Linked DNA regions of Caenorhabditis elegans. The protein of the gene in region 2 interacts with the protein of the main gene of each other region in a pairwise test. Each region holds a gene or a part of one and is shown on either strand. Other genes may lie near its edges.

Region 1 (6,583 bases), on a different chromosome or scaffold from region 2:
TTTATTCTATAATTTTGTGCATAAAAACCCCGTAAAATTAATTTGTTCCAGGTATCAACAATGCGCTCAGTAATCAATACCCTCCGTTTCATTCCATTCTGGAAAACGATCAGCGGAGGAGAACACGTCGCCAAATTTCGTCCAGTTTGGGATTTGAAACGAGAACCTACAAAATGCGATCGTTTCGCAATTGAAGTATCCACTGAATTTAACTCTGATCAGAAGCATTGGAATGACGTCATTGAAGAAACTATTGATCAACTTTTGTTGGAATCTGGAAGCAAATCATCTGCACAATTACAATGGGACGCCGAAGGACCTGCTAGAAATGAAGCTGCAAAAGCAGAAAAAGCAGCAGAAAATACAATTAAAAATATCATTACTCTTGGAGATGATGAAGATGATGCACCAGAAGTTGGAAATCAGAGAAGAAAAAGTGGAAAAAAGAATAAAAAGAATAGGAAGAATCAAAAGAAAAATGATTTTGAAGCAGCAGTTATTGAGAAGAAACAAGTAGAACCGATTGTTATTGATGACGAAGAAGAAGTCAATTCCTCGCTTCAGAAGAAATTTGATGCTTTGAAAGCTGAAAATGAGAAGCTCAAGGAAATCAATAAACAAATGTACGAATTTGTTGCCAAGGAGATTGTTGATAGCGAAAAATAGATTTTTTAATTTTATTCTTGCTTTTCCCTATTTGTTACATTGTTATTGGTGTTGCTGTTGATCTTTTTCTGTTGTTTTTGTTTTAATATTGATTAAAGAAACTTCAAAATTAACCTATTTTCAAATATCAATAATCGGTCAATTGGTCCGTTGAATTCCTGAAAAATATTTTTATAAATTTAATTTATATTTAAAAATTTTCAAATATACTTCCAGATGACGTCCGCTAACATCCAAATGGCAGTTTACTGCTTTGACGTCATCAACGCCCAATTGAATCGAGAGAAGGAACCTCCCGTGCCAAAAGAGATCCCTAATGTAAAATTGTAAGCAAGATTTCAGAAAAATCCCCGTTATTTCGTTAATGAATCAAGTTAATTTCTATATTTTAACATTAATTTCTGATAAAACAAATGAGAACTGCAGAAAATAATTGCCGACCGACCACCTCTAAATAGTACGAATCAAAAATCGAAGTTTAATCAATTCTCAAATAAAAATTCGTTTTTTCCAGACCACTATTTGTCACATGGAAGAAGGGACATCAACACGATTTACGCGGATGCATTGGAACTTTCTCTGATTTAAGGTAGAGTTTTTCACTATTTAAAACATTATTCAACAATCCAATTTATTACAGATTGGGTGAGGGGTTAAACGAATATGCGAAGACCAGCGCTTTCCATGATTCACGATTCAAGCCAATTAGCCGGGAAGAAGTTCCAAGTTTGCAGTGCGGAGTGAGTATTTTCACTTTTAAATTGCATTTAAATGAAAGTTTGTAGGTTTCTCTTCTAATAAACTTCGAGCCAATTCATAATTTTCGTGACTGGACAATCGGTCGTCATGGAGTTCGAATGAATTTCGACGATGGTCATCGCAATCGGAGTGCCGTTTTCTTGCCGGAAGTAGCTCAAGAACAAGGATGGAATCATGTGGAGACAATTGATCATTTAATAAGAAAAAGTGGATACGGAGGACATATTAATGATGCTCTTCGGTCAGCACTTCGAATTGTTCGCTTCCAAAGCTCCAAACTTGTTCTGGATTATAAGGTGAATATAATTATCCGGCGTGTACTCCTCTCGGTCAATTAATTAATTAATTGTTCTGGATTTTAAGCGATTTTGCATTTCCTCATGATAGTATTTGTGTTTTTCTATTAGAAATTAAAAAATTTAAACATATTTTCGTATTTTCGATAGTTTTCATCAAAATAACAGAAGTTATGACGGTTTTAAAGCGTTATTGGTCTGCTATTTAATGTAAAACGCAATGTTATATTTGTTCGAAAACAAAAAAATTCGAAAAATCAAGCAAAATCATGAGAAAACACGAAAAATTGCCTAAAATCCAAAAAAATTAATTCATTAATTGCCCGAGAGGAGTACACGGCCGAGAAATAATTATCGGCCATGTACTCCTCTCGGATAATGAGTAAATTAATTTTTTCTGGATTTTATGCAATTTTTCGATTTTTCTCATGATTATTCGTGTTTTCTATCAAAAATTAAATGCACAAATTGTCCGAAATAATTCAAAATATTTTTTATATACAATTTCTCTAATTTTCAGGATTATGTAAACTACAAACAATCGCACGGACTGCCACTACCACGTTAATGATCTCTTTCTATGTATTTTTCTTTCAAATTCCTGTAAAATATTCTGTATTATGATTGAAATAACTGTATAATAACTGAAAATTCTGTAAAAATATCTAAAATAATCTAATAAATTTCTATTTTTTTGAAATCCGTTTGGAAAAAATATTTAAGTGTTTCTAACCGCACTAACCACTATCTTTTCAATTTATTTTCACCACTTTTTGCTTTTGCAACTTTTCCACTTTCTAACCACTCTCATAATCTTCACAGAATGGCCGACGCAGTTGCACCAGCAGCTGCTCCCGAAGCAGCTCCGGAACCACAGCAAGGTGGCGGAATTTGGGGAATGATCAAGCAAGCAATCACCATTTATTTCGTAGTTTCCATGGTTTCTGTAAGTTGATCTGGACATCTTAATTTGAAAAATGAATTCAAAAAAATTGAAGGGATTCTTCCGGCCATCGTCGTCGCCTGGAAATGATGGAAATGTGACAGCATCTACTGCTGGAAATGGAAATAAAGCGATGAATATGTTCCCAAATCATCAGATTTTTGATTTATACGTTTACATGGATGATAGTGTTAGTTGACTTGGAGAAAAAGTTGAAAATATCGGAATTTCCAACAATTTCAGGATCTCCCATTCAGACAATTCGATTCAGCACCAGAAAAGTTGATTTGGATGCGAAATGGAATGAAGTATGATGATTGGATTAGTGGTGATAATGAAGTTTGATAATTCTCTAGATTTAATTAATTTAACTTCGTATTTTCTAGGACGGCAGTCACACAATTCACAAAAACTTCCCAACTCCTGCTGCATTGCTCCGTAATGATTCCCTCTGGCTTCACACGTTCATCGTTAAAGCTGGCCAATCACCGAATCCCAAGGATCGGAATTATTTCAAGAATCAGGTAAAAAAACTAAAATTTTTCATTTTTTTAAATCTAAAATTTAAAAATTCAACATAAAACTGGAAAATTTGGAAAAAAAAAATTATTTAGATTAATTAAAAAAATTGTACGAGAATTGTATAGATTTATCAAAAATATGCTAATTTTTATGTAAAAAATATAACAATTAATTTTTGAATTCGTTTCCAAAAACTGGAAACCGAAAAAATCATTAAATATTAAAAAAAATTAAACATAAAAAAAACTGTAAACTTTTTTTGTGGAAAATATGTAGGTAGACTTTCAGTTAAAAAAAAAGAAAAACTAGCCGGAAATTTTTGAAAAAATTGTTTTTTTTCTCAAAAAACGAAAATTCGAAAAAATACAAAAAAAACATTGAAATTTTTGGATTTTCCGATTGTTTTGAAAACCCGACACGAGGATTCTATAGATTTTTCAAAAATATGTTGAATTTTATGTGAAAAAATAATTTTTTTTAAACATAGAAATTATTGAAAATTTGGAATTTTTAACTCAAACAGTCTCTGTTTGTTTTGGGAATTTTTTGGAAAAAAATGTTTGGAAAGTAGAGAAATTACCGGAAATTATTGAAATTTTTAAATTTTTTTTAGAATATCGAAAATTCGAAAAAAAAAACCAATTTTCGATTCTTTGGAAAATCTAAAAACACAATTTTTTTTGTGAAAAATTTAAAAACCAACATTATCAAGAAGAAAAAGAAGATTAGTTCAAGATTAAAATAAATTTCAAAAATATATATTTCAGATCATCTATAAATCATATCAGCTGAACAAGTACAAGAAGAAGTATTATCGAAAAACTTCAAACTTGTTGACTGGTGAGAGTGAGCAGAGTGATGAGGATCTTGCCAAAGCTCAGATTATGAAATATGAGGTGAAAAATCTAAACAAATATCGAAAATTTTGGAATTATTGTCAATTTTTGCAGGTTCTCAATCACTGGCATCCAAACATCTCAATCTCTTTAGTCGTTGATCAAACTCCATGGGCTCGTGGCCAAATTCCACCACCACTTAGTGAAGATATTGAATTTAATGAAGACGGAACCATCTACAAGCCTATTTTATTCTATAACAATTGGTGGAATCTCGGAGCAGATTATCAACCGATCAATGAAACTGTCAAAGATCTTAACTTGACAATTACCTACTATCCAATGTCAGTGTTCAAATATCAAATGTACGCAAGTCAGCGGATGCAGTCTCAATGGCAATCAATGTTATCTATGGATGGTGCAGATATGGATGATGATGGCCATGATTCTATGAAACAAGCACTTCTAGAGACTAATCCAATCCTTTTGGCAGTTACTATGATTGTTTCACTTCTACATACCGTATTCGAGTTTTTGGCTTTCAAGAATGACATTCAATTTTGGAATAATCGAAAAGATCTCGTCGGATTATCAGTTCGATCTGTGCTTTTCAACATCTTCCAATCACTGATTGTTTTCCTTTATATTTGTGATAATGAGACAAATACAATGGTGAAAGTTACAGTTGGAATTGGTTTGCTCATTGAATGCTGGAAGATTCCGAAGGTGATGAATGTATCCATCGACTGGCAGAACAAATGGTTCGGAGTGATTCCACGTTTGGTTATCAGTGATAAAGGATCATATGTAGAGAGTGAGACGAAGATCTACGATCAAATGGCATTCAAATACCTCGGATGGGCACTTTTCCCACTTCTTGTCGGATATGCCATCTATTCTGTAATCTACGTTGAGCAAAAAGGATGGTACTCCTGGGTACTCAATATGCTCTATGGATTCTTGCTCACGTTCGGATTCATTACCATGACACCTCAGCTGTTCATTAACTACAAGCTCAAATCAGTGGCTCATCTGCCGTGGCGTATGCTCACTTACAAATTCATCAATACGTTTATTGATGATTTGTTCGCGTTTGTGATCCGGATGCCGTTGCTCTACAGAATTGGTTGCTTCAGAGATGATATCATTTTCCTGGTGAGAAAATGTCGAATAGATTATGAGGACGCAGAAAATTGCACTTTTAAAAACGCTCCTCCCCAAAGTATTGGGTCTCGTTTGGAATTTTATTTCAAAACCACAATTTCGCCAAAAAGAACGAAAAATTCTTGAAAATCGGTGAAACTAATTGAAAACGTTTGAATTCACGGATTTGCTGCCAAATTACCAACTAATCTATTGCTGTGGAGCGCGCGTGCACATCGATTTCAAAAATCTCATTTTTCTGCGTCCCCATAATACCAAAATAACTTTAATTAAAAAATAATATTAAAATTTCCAGATCTACCTCTACCAACGCTGGGCGTATCGCATTGATCCAACTCGACTGAACGAGTTCGGCACAAGCCTCGAGAAGGAAACTGGAGCACCGGCGCCGACGCCGGCCGTAGAAGGATCTTCTGAACCTTCCCAGGAGCCCGAGCATGAATCAGAACCAAATTCAGAGCATGCAAAAGAAGATAAAAAGACAAAGTAGAATTTACTTGATTTTTTTAATATATTAAAGCAAAACTATTGTTACGGGAATCATGTCTTCCGATTTACTTGTCGTCCATCTCCCCATCTACTTTTTGTTTCCAGTCGTTAGTGAGATTTAAATCCCCTGAACTTCTCAATTATATATTTCCTGTTCTCTTTGAATTCTTTAATTTATTTGTTATAAACTTTTCTTTATTAGAAAAAATAGTTACAATTCAAGTGCATAAGAACCATGTAAACATTTTTGGGGAGAAAGTGGTGATGGGTGGAGGAGACTAGTAGAGTTGTAAAAATCTGTGAATAAAATGGACTGAAAGTGTGGCAAACATTTAGGCAATTTTTAGAAAATCTTTTTTTTACTATTCAAAGAAAAAATGACGGGATTATTCAAATTTTTGGAGCAAATTAGGCCATTTCGAATGACCGGAAAATTTGAAAATTTGATCTATTCAGAAAAATCTTTGAATTTTTTGAATTTTCACTGCATTAAATGCAAAATTTTTGTGAAAATCCTATGGGCTTTTCGCTTCGAGACCCAAAAATTTATAAAAGCAATCAACTTGCAATGCATTGGATGCGAAATTGAAGTTTTTCAGTTTTGAATTCAAATTTCTTTCTCAATAGAGCAAGACAAACATATTAAATATTTTTAAAAAATTGGAAAATGGAAAAAAAAATTATATTTAAATTATCTAATTGGGGGCGGGGCCGTGGGCGTTGGTTTTGGAACCGAACTGTGTTTAGACTCCCATTATATGAGAGCTTGGCATTGGTTTTTGAAAAACCGCCGGAAAAATGGGGGGTTTTTTGAAAACTAGACAAAAAAGTGATAGGAAGAGAAGGAAATTATATGACTCCGAGCGAAGGGGGCGGGAATTTAAATTTAAATTCAAATTCCCGCCTTG
Region 2 (5,213 bases):
TTTTTTGCCGATTTTCAAAAGTTTGCAAAAAAAATCCAGAAAATTAATTTTTTAGTATTTTTTAAATTTTTTTTTAAGGATTAAAACAATTTATGATAAAAAAGAGCAAAAATGCAAAACTTCATTCCAAAAAAAAACTCAATTATCCCTTAATAAAAGCAGCCAAAGGAATATACGGGAAAACTATAAAATTGCAAAAAAAAGCGAAAAAATCCGAACATCAAGACCAAACTGCGTACGATAAAAGCCAAAAGATCTAAATTTTGATTTTCCGGTCAAAAAGTATTTGAAAATTTGAAATTTGAATTTCCCGCCAAAAAATATTTATTACGTTTCCAGCCTCAAGATTTCAAAATATTTACAAAAAATTGAAAAAGAAAATCCAAAAAATTTTGAAATTTCTCAGTTTTTTTGAAAATTTAACTGATTTTTAGCTTTTATGGCAATTTTCTTCTTTAGCTCACTGAGAGCTTCAATTTGACCCCAATATCGGCTACTTTCCGCCATTTTTAACACTTTTTGGGTCCCGCCGCGAAAACTACAATACCCCGTGGGCTTTCGTGGTGGGATCCCAAAATCCTGGAAGTCGGCGGAATATAGGTTATTTGAAAGCTCCCGGCAAGGCAAATGCAAATTTGATGCCGATTTTTAAAAATTTACAAAAAAAATTTGAGAATTTGACGATTTAAAAAAATAAAAATTCAGATTTCTGAAAATTCCCAATTTTTCCGAAATTTCAACAGAATTTTCAATTTTTAGTGCAATTTTCTTACTCAGCTCATCGCGAGCTTCAATATGACCGCAATATCGGCTACTTTCCGCCATTTTTAACACTATATGGGTCCCGCCACGAGAACTACAGTAACCCTTTCGTGGTGGGACCCAAAATTATTAAAGTCGGCGGAATAAAGGCATGTTGGGGGTTATTTGAAAGGTCTCGGTGAGCTGAGTTCAAATTTGAAAATGAAAATTTCCAGAAATGGGTCTCGACGCGAAAAAAAAATTTGGAAAAATTTTCAAAAAAAAATTTTATAAATTTTTTTTTCAATTTTTTTTCATTTAGTTTTTTGTTTATATTCAGGTAATAGCATGTATTTTTCGAATAAAATTTTTTTTACTACCGCTGCTCACAGTGGCAATTAACCTTATCTACGTATAATGATTATTGCATAAACTAATCTAAAAATAACCGAATTTTTGACCTCTTACGTGGAAAAACCAAGAATTTCCGAGTTTTCAAAAGATGATTTTAGCTGGAAAAATCACAGATAAAAAGTAATTTTACAACAACAACGAAAAAGCAATTTCATGAAAAAATTCCAATTTCTCCTGCTAATTTTGCTCTGCTTTTCGCAATTTTCAATGGCTTTTCCGAAAAAATGCTTCGATACTAATTTGGAGGTGAGTTTTTCAGATTTTTTCGGATTTTCAGGCCATAACCCCGAATTTCAGACCCAAAACTGTGCTGCAATTGAGTTATGGTGCATCAAGTTTGACAATGAGACACGTGGCTGCACTAATGTTTTTGATTATTGTACCGAATCGGAGCCAGGGTAGGTTTTTGTGCTTTTTCGTCATGAAATTCGTGTTCTCCGTAGTTTTTCACCTCTAGAAATTAATTTTGAGCCAATTTGGTGAACATCGGCGTTTGCGTACTTTTGAAGCTACAGTAACCCGCCAAAGCAGGAACTTTTTTTTAGAATATTTTCAAGGCTTCTCGTTATGAAATTCGTGTTCTCCGTAGTTTTTTACCATATAAATTTAATTTTAGCCAATTTGATGGTTATCGGTGTTTGCGTACTTTCGGGGCTACAGTAACCCCTGCGAAATTTTGAAAAACTCAAATTTCGCGCCCGATGCCTGAGAACATGATTTTAAGGCTAGAATTTGGCGTAGAATTTGAATTTTTCAATAGTTTTCTTCAAAAAATAACTAAAAATCCACAAATTTACAATTTTTCTCAGGTGTTATCAGAGACGTGGTGTGAAATGGTGCTGCTGTCGTGATGCATTGTGCAATTTGGCGTCATCTTCAGTGTTTCTAGTTTCGACTGCTTTTTTTATTCTGATTTTTGGAATTTTCCTGTAATAAAAAAATAAAAAATTTGTTGAATTTTCTTTTTTTTTTTGGATTTTTAAATTTTTGAAAAAAAAGTCTTTTTTTGCACTAAAATGACAAATTATTAATACATCAATAACCATATTTTGGTTACTACACAGATCCCCGCCAAATCTGATCAAAACCCATTGAAAAACACGATTTTCACACAAAACATTCGGATTAGGCTCGACTATAAAAAAAATGCGGAAAACATTGAAAAATTGACACTTTTCTGTTGGAAAATGAGACTTTTTATAACATTTTCACTATTTTTAACTTTAATTTATGGAATTTTCGGGCAAAGTTTGGATCCGATGGAGCGTAAGTTGAGAAATCTGAATTTCCCCCAAAAAAATAATTGGAAATTTGAATTTCCCGCCAAAAAATATTTGAAAATTTGAATTTCCCGCCAAAAAATATTTAAAAATTTGAATTTTTGCATTTCCCGCCAAAAAATATTTAAAAATTTGAATTTTTGCATTTCCCGCCAAAAAATATTTGAAAACTTGAATTTCCCGCCAAAAAATATTTAAAAATTTGAATTTTTGCATTTCCCGCCAAAAAATATTTGAAAACTTGAATTTCCCGCCAAAAAAATATTTAAAAATATGAATTTTCGAATTTCCCGCAAAAAAATATTTGAAAATTTGAATTTCCCGCCAAAAAATATTTAAAAATTTGAATTTCCCGCCAAATAATATTTGAAAATTTGGATTTGCAGCCAAAAAGCATTTGAAAATTTTAATTTTTGAATTTCCCGCCAAAAAGTATTTGAAAATTTAAATTTCCCGCCAAAAAATATTAAAAATTTTGAATTTTTGCATTTCCCGCCAAAAAATATTCGAAAATTTAAATTTCCCGCCAAAAAATATTAGAAAATTTGAATTTCCCGCCAAAAAATATTTGAAAATTTGAATTTCCCGCAAAAAAATATTTGAAAATCTGAATTTCCCGCAAAAAAATATTTGAAAATTTGAATTTCCCGCCAAAATAATTTGAATTTTTAAATTTCCCGCCAAAAAATATTTGAAAATTTGAATTTCCCGCCAAAAAATATTTGAAAATTTGAATTTCCCGCCAAAAAATATTAAAAATTTTGAATTTTTGCATTTCCCGCCAAAAAATATTCGAAAATTTAAATTTCCCGCCGAAAAAGTATTTGAAAATTTGAATTTTTGAATTTCCCCCCAAAACCAGAAAATATTTGAAAATTTGAATTTCCCGGCAAAAAATATTCGAAAATTTGAATTTACGTGGCAAATACGCTCCACTGGCAAAGCAACACTGCAGCAACTGCGCTCTATTGACAAAATTCTTAAAATCTCGAGTTTTCGCAGTTTTTTCATGATTTTTGACGGAAATATATGAATGTTTTTCGTATATATGTTGCAGCAAATGCGCCCCATTGATAAATTGCTTTAAAACAGCTGGTTTTCGGCGGGAAATTCAAATTTTTTGTAGAATTTTTGCGAACATTCAAATTTTCAGCTCCATCTCTTATGGAAAACAAGACCATCCAACTTTTCGGGAATATTACGGGCGGCCCAATCGAATTACACTCACAAACGGGATCCCGTCGACGTCGTGACACTGTAGAAAATGCCGGAAAATCTGCTTGGGACACTGCCGGAGATGTGGGTAAATCTGGTGAGTTTTAGCTCTGAAATCAGAGGTTTTTGTCGTTAGAGCGCGTTTGCAGTCCAACGGGGCGCATTTGCAACCCAGCTGTTGCAGTCGTCCAATTTTTAAGACAAAAATTATTGAAAATGCTCAAAAACTAGCTGAGTTACCAGTGATTTAAAGAATTTTCATCGTTAGAGCGCAATTGCAACACTCATTTTTTGCGATAGAGCGCATTTGCATTTCTTAGCTGTAGTTCTATAAATGTTTCATATTTGAAGACAAAAATTACTTGAAAAAACCGAAAATTCGGCAATTTCCAAAATATTTCTCATTGGAGCGCACTTGCAGACCCCGGAAATTCAAAAATTTTCAATTTTTCAGTTATTGATACCGTTGAAAACGCCGGAGCAGCTGTCAAGAATGGAGCAAGTGATTTGGACGAAAAACTTATGGGATCTGGATAAATATTGATTGGAATTGTAAAAAAAAATAATTTATTCGAGGAAAAAATCAATAAAAATTGAATTTGAAACAAAATTTTTTAAAAATCAATAAATTTAGACAATTTCCTCGCTGGCGACGAATGGCGGCACATCGGTCAGTGTTTCAAGATCCATCTGAAAAAAAAAATGTTGAATTATTGATTTTTAGGAAAATATCGATTTTTCGAAAATTATCGATTTTTTAGAAATTTTTCGATTTTTCTTAGAAATATCGTGTTTTCCGAATTTTTACCACAAAAATATAATTTCTAAGGTCTCGACAGGATTTCGACACCAAATTATCGATTTTTTGAAGGAATTATCGATTTTTTTAAAATGACGATAATTCCTTCGGAAAATATCGATTTTTCAAAAAAAAAATCGATTTTTTGAAAATTATCGACTTGTTTTAGAAATTATCGAATTATTCGGAAATTATCGATTTTTTGGGGATTTTCGATTTTTTTTTAGGAATTATCGATTTTTGGAAAATTGCTACTTTTAGAAATATCAATATTTTCATAAATTACAGATTTTTGGAAATTATCGATTTTTCGGAAATTATTGATTTTTTTAAAGGATTTTGCTGAAAATATCAAATTTTTAGGGTCTCGACGCGATTTCAGCCTAAATTATCGATTTTTCAGTGAAAATATCGATTTTTCACACCTCCTCAACAGCAAATTTCTCCAATTGCTCTCCGTGACGTTCTCGAGCTTTTTGAATTTTTGCGGAAATATTGCGAATTTCATACGGACGAATGTAGAAGCGACGATCGGTGGAATTTGAATTTTCTGGAAAAATATTGATTTTTTTTTTGGCGGGAAATTCAAAAATTCAAATTTTCAAATATTTTTTGGCGGGAAATTCAAAAATTTAAATTTTTTGAATATTTTTTGGCGGGAAATTTCAAAATTCAAATTTTTGAATATTTTTTGGCGGGAAATTTCAAAATTCAAATTTTTGAATATTTTTTGGCGGGAAATTCAAAAATTCAAATTTTTTGAA

What was found. Proteins that work in one complex are often made in the same cells at the same time.
Region 1: the proteins of Y48G9A.7 (region 2) and R166.2 interact in a two-hybrid assay, tested with the Caenorhabditis elegans proteins (one large-scale study listed by BioGRID).

What each region holds. Positions count from the first base shown.
Region 1 is NC_003280.10:10,533,632-10,540,214, reverse strand, and holds R166.2 (Cleft lip and palate transmembrane protein 1 homolog), read left to right. Parts: upstream 1-2,543; 5' UTR 2,544-2,544; coding exon 2,545-2,667; intron 2,668-2,719; coding exon 2,720-2,854; intron 2,855-2,907; coding exon 2,908-3,003; intron 3,004-3,050; coding exon 3,051-3,188; intron 3,189-3,953; coding exon 3,954-4,082; intron 4,083-4,136; coding exon 4,137-5,177; intron 5,178-5,481; coding exon 5,482-5,676; 3' UTR 5,677-5,883; downstream 5,884-6,583. Other genes in the region: Pre-rRNA-processing protein pro-1, read left to right, coding at 52-666; R166.3 (AMMECR1 domain-containing protein), read left to right, coding at 883-992, 1,181-1,255, 1,307-1,406, 1,452-1,721, 2,242-2,289.
Region 2 is NC_003281.10:2,108,214-2,113,426, forward strand, and holds Y48G9A.7 (Late embryogenesis abundant protein D-29-like), read left to right. Parts: upstream 1-2,335; 5' UTR 2,336-2,342; coding exon 2,343-2,421; intron 2,422-3,588; coding exon 3,589-3,747; intron 3,748-4,104; coding exon 4,105-4,187; 3' UTR 4,188-4,255; downstream 4,256-5,213. Other genes in the region: Y48G9A.11 (C2H2-type domain-containing protein), read right to left, coding at 4,281-4,340, 4,875-4,999.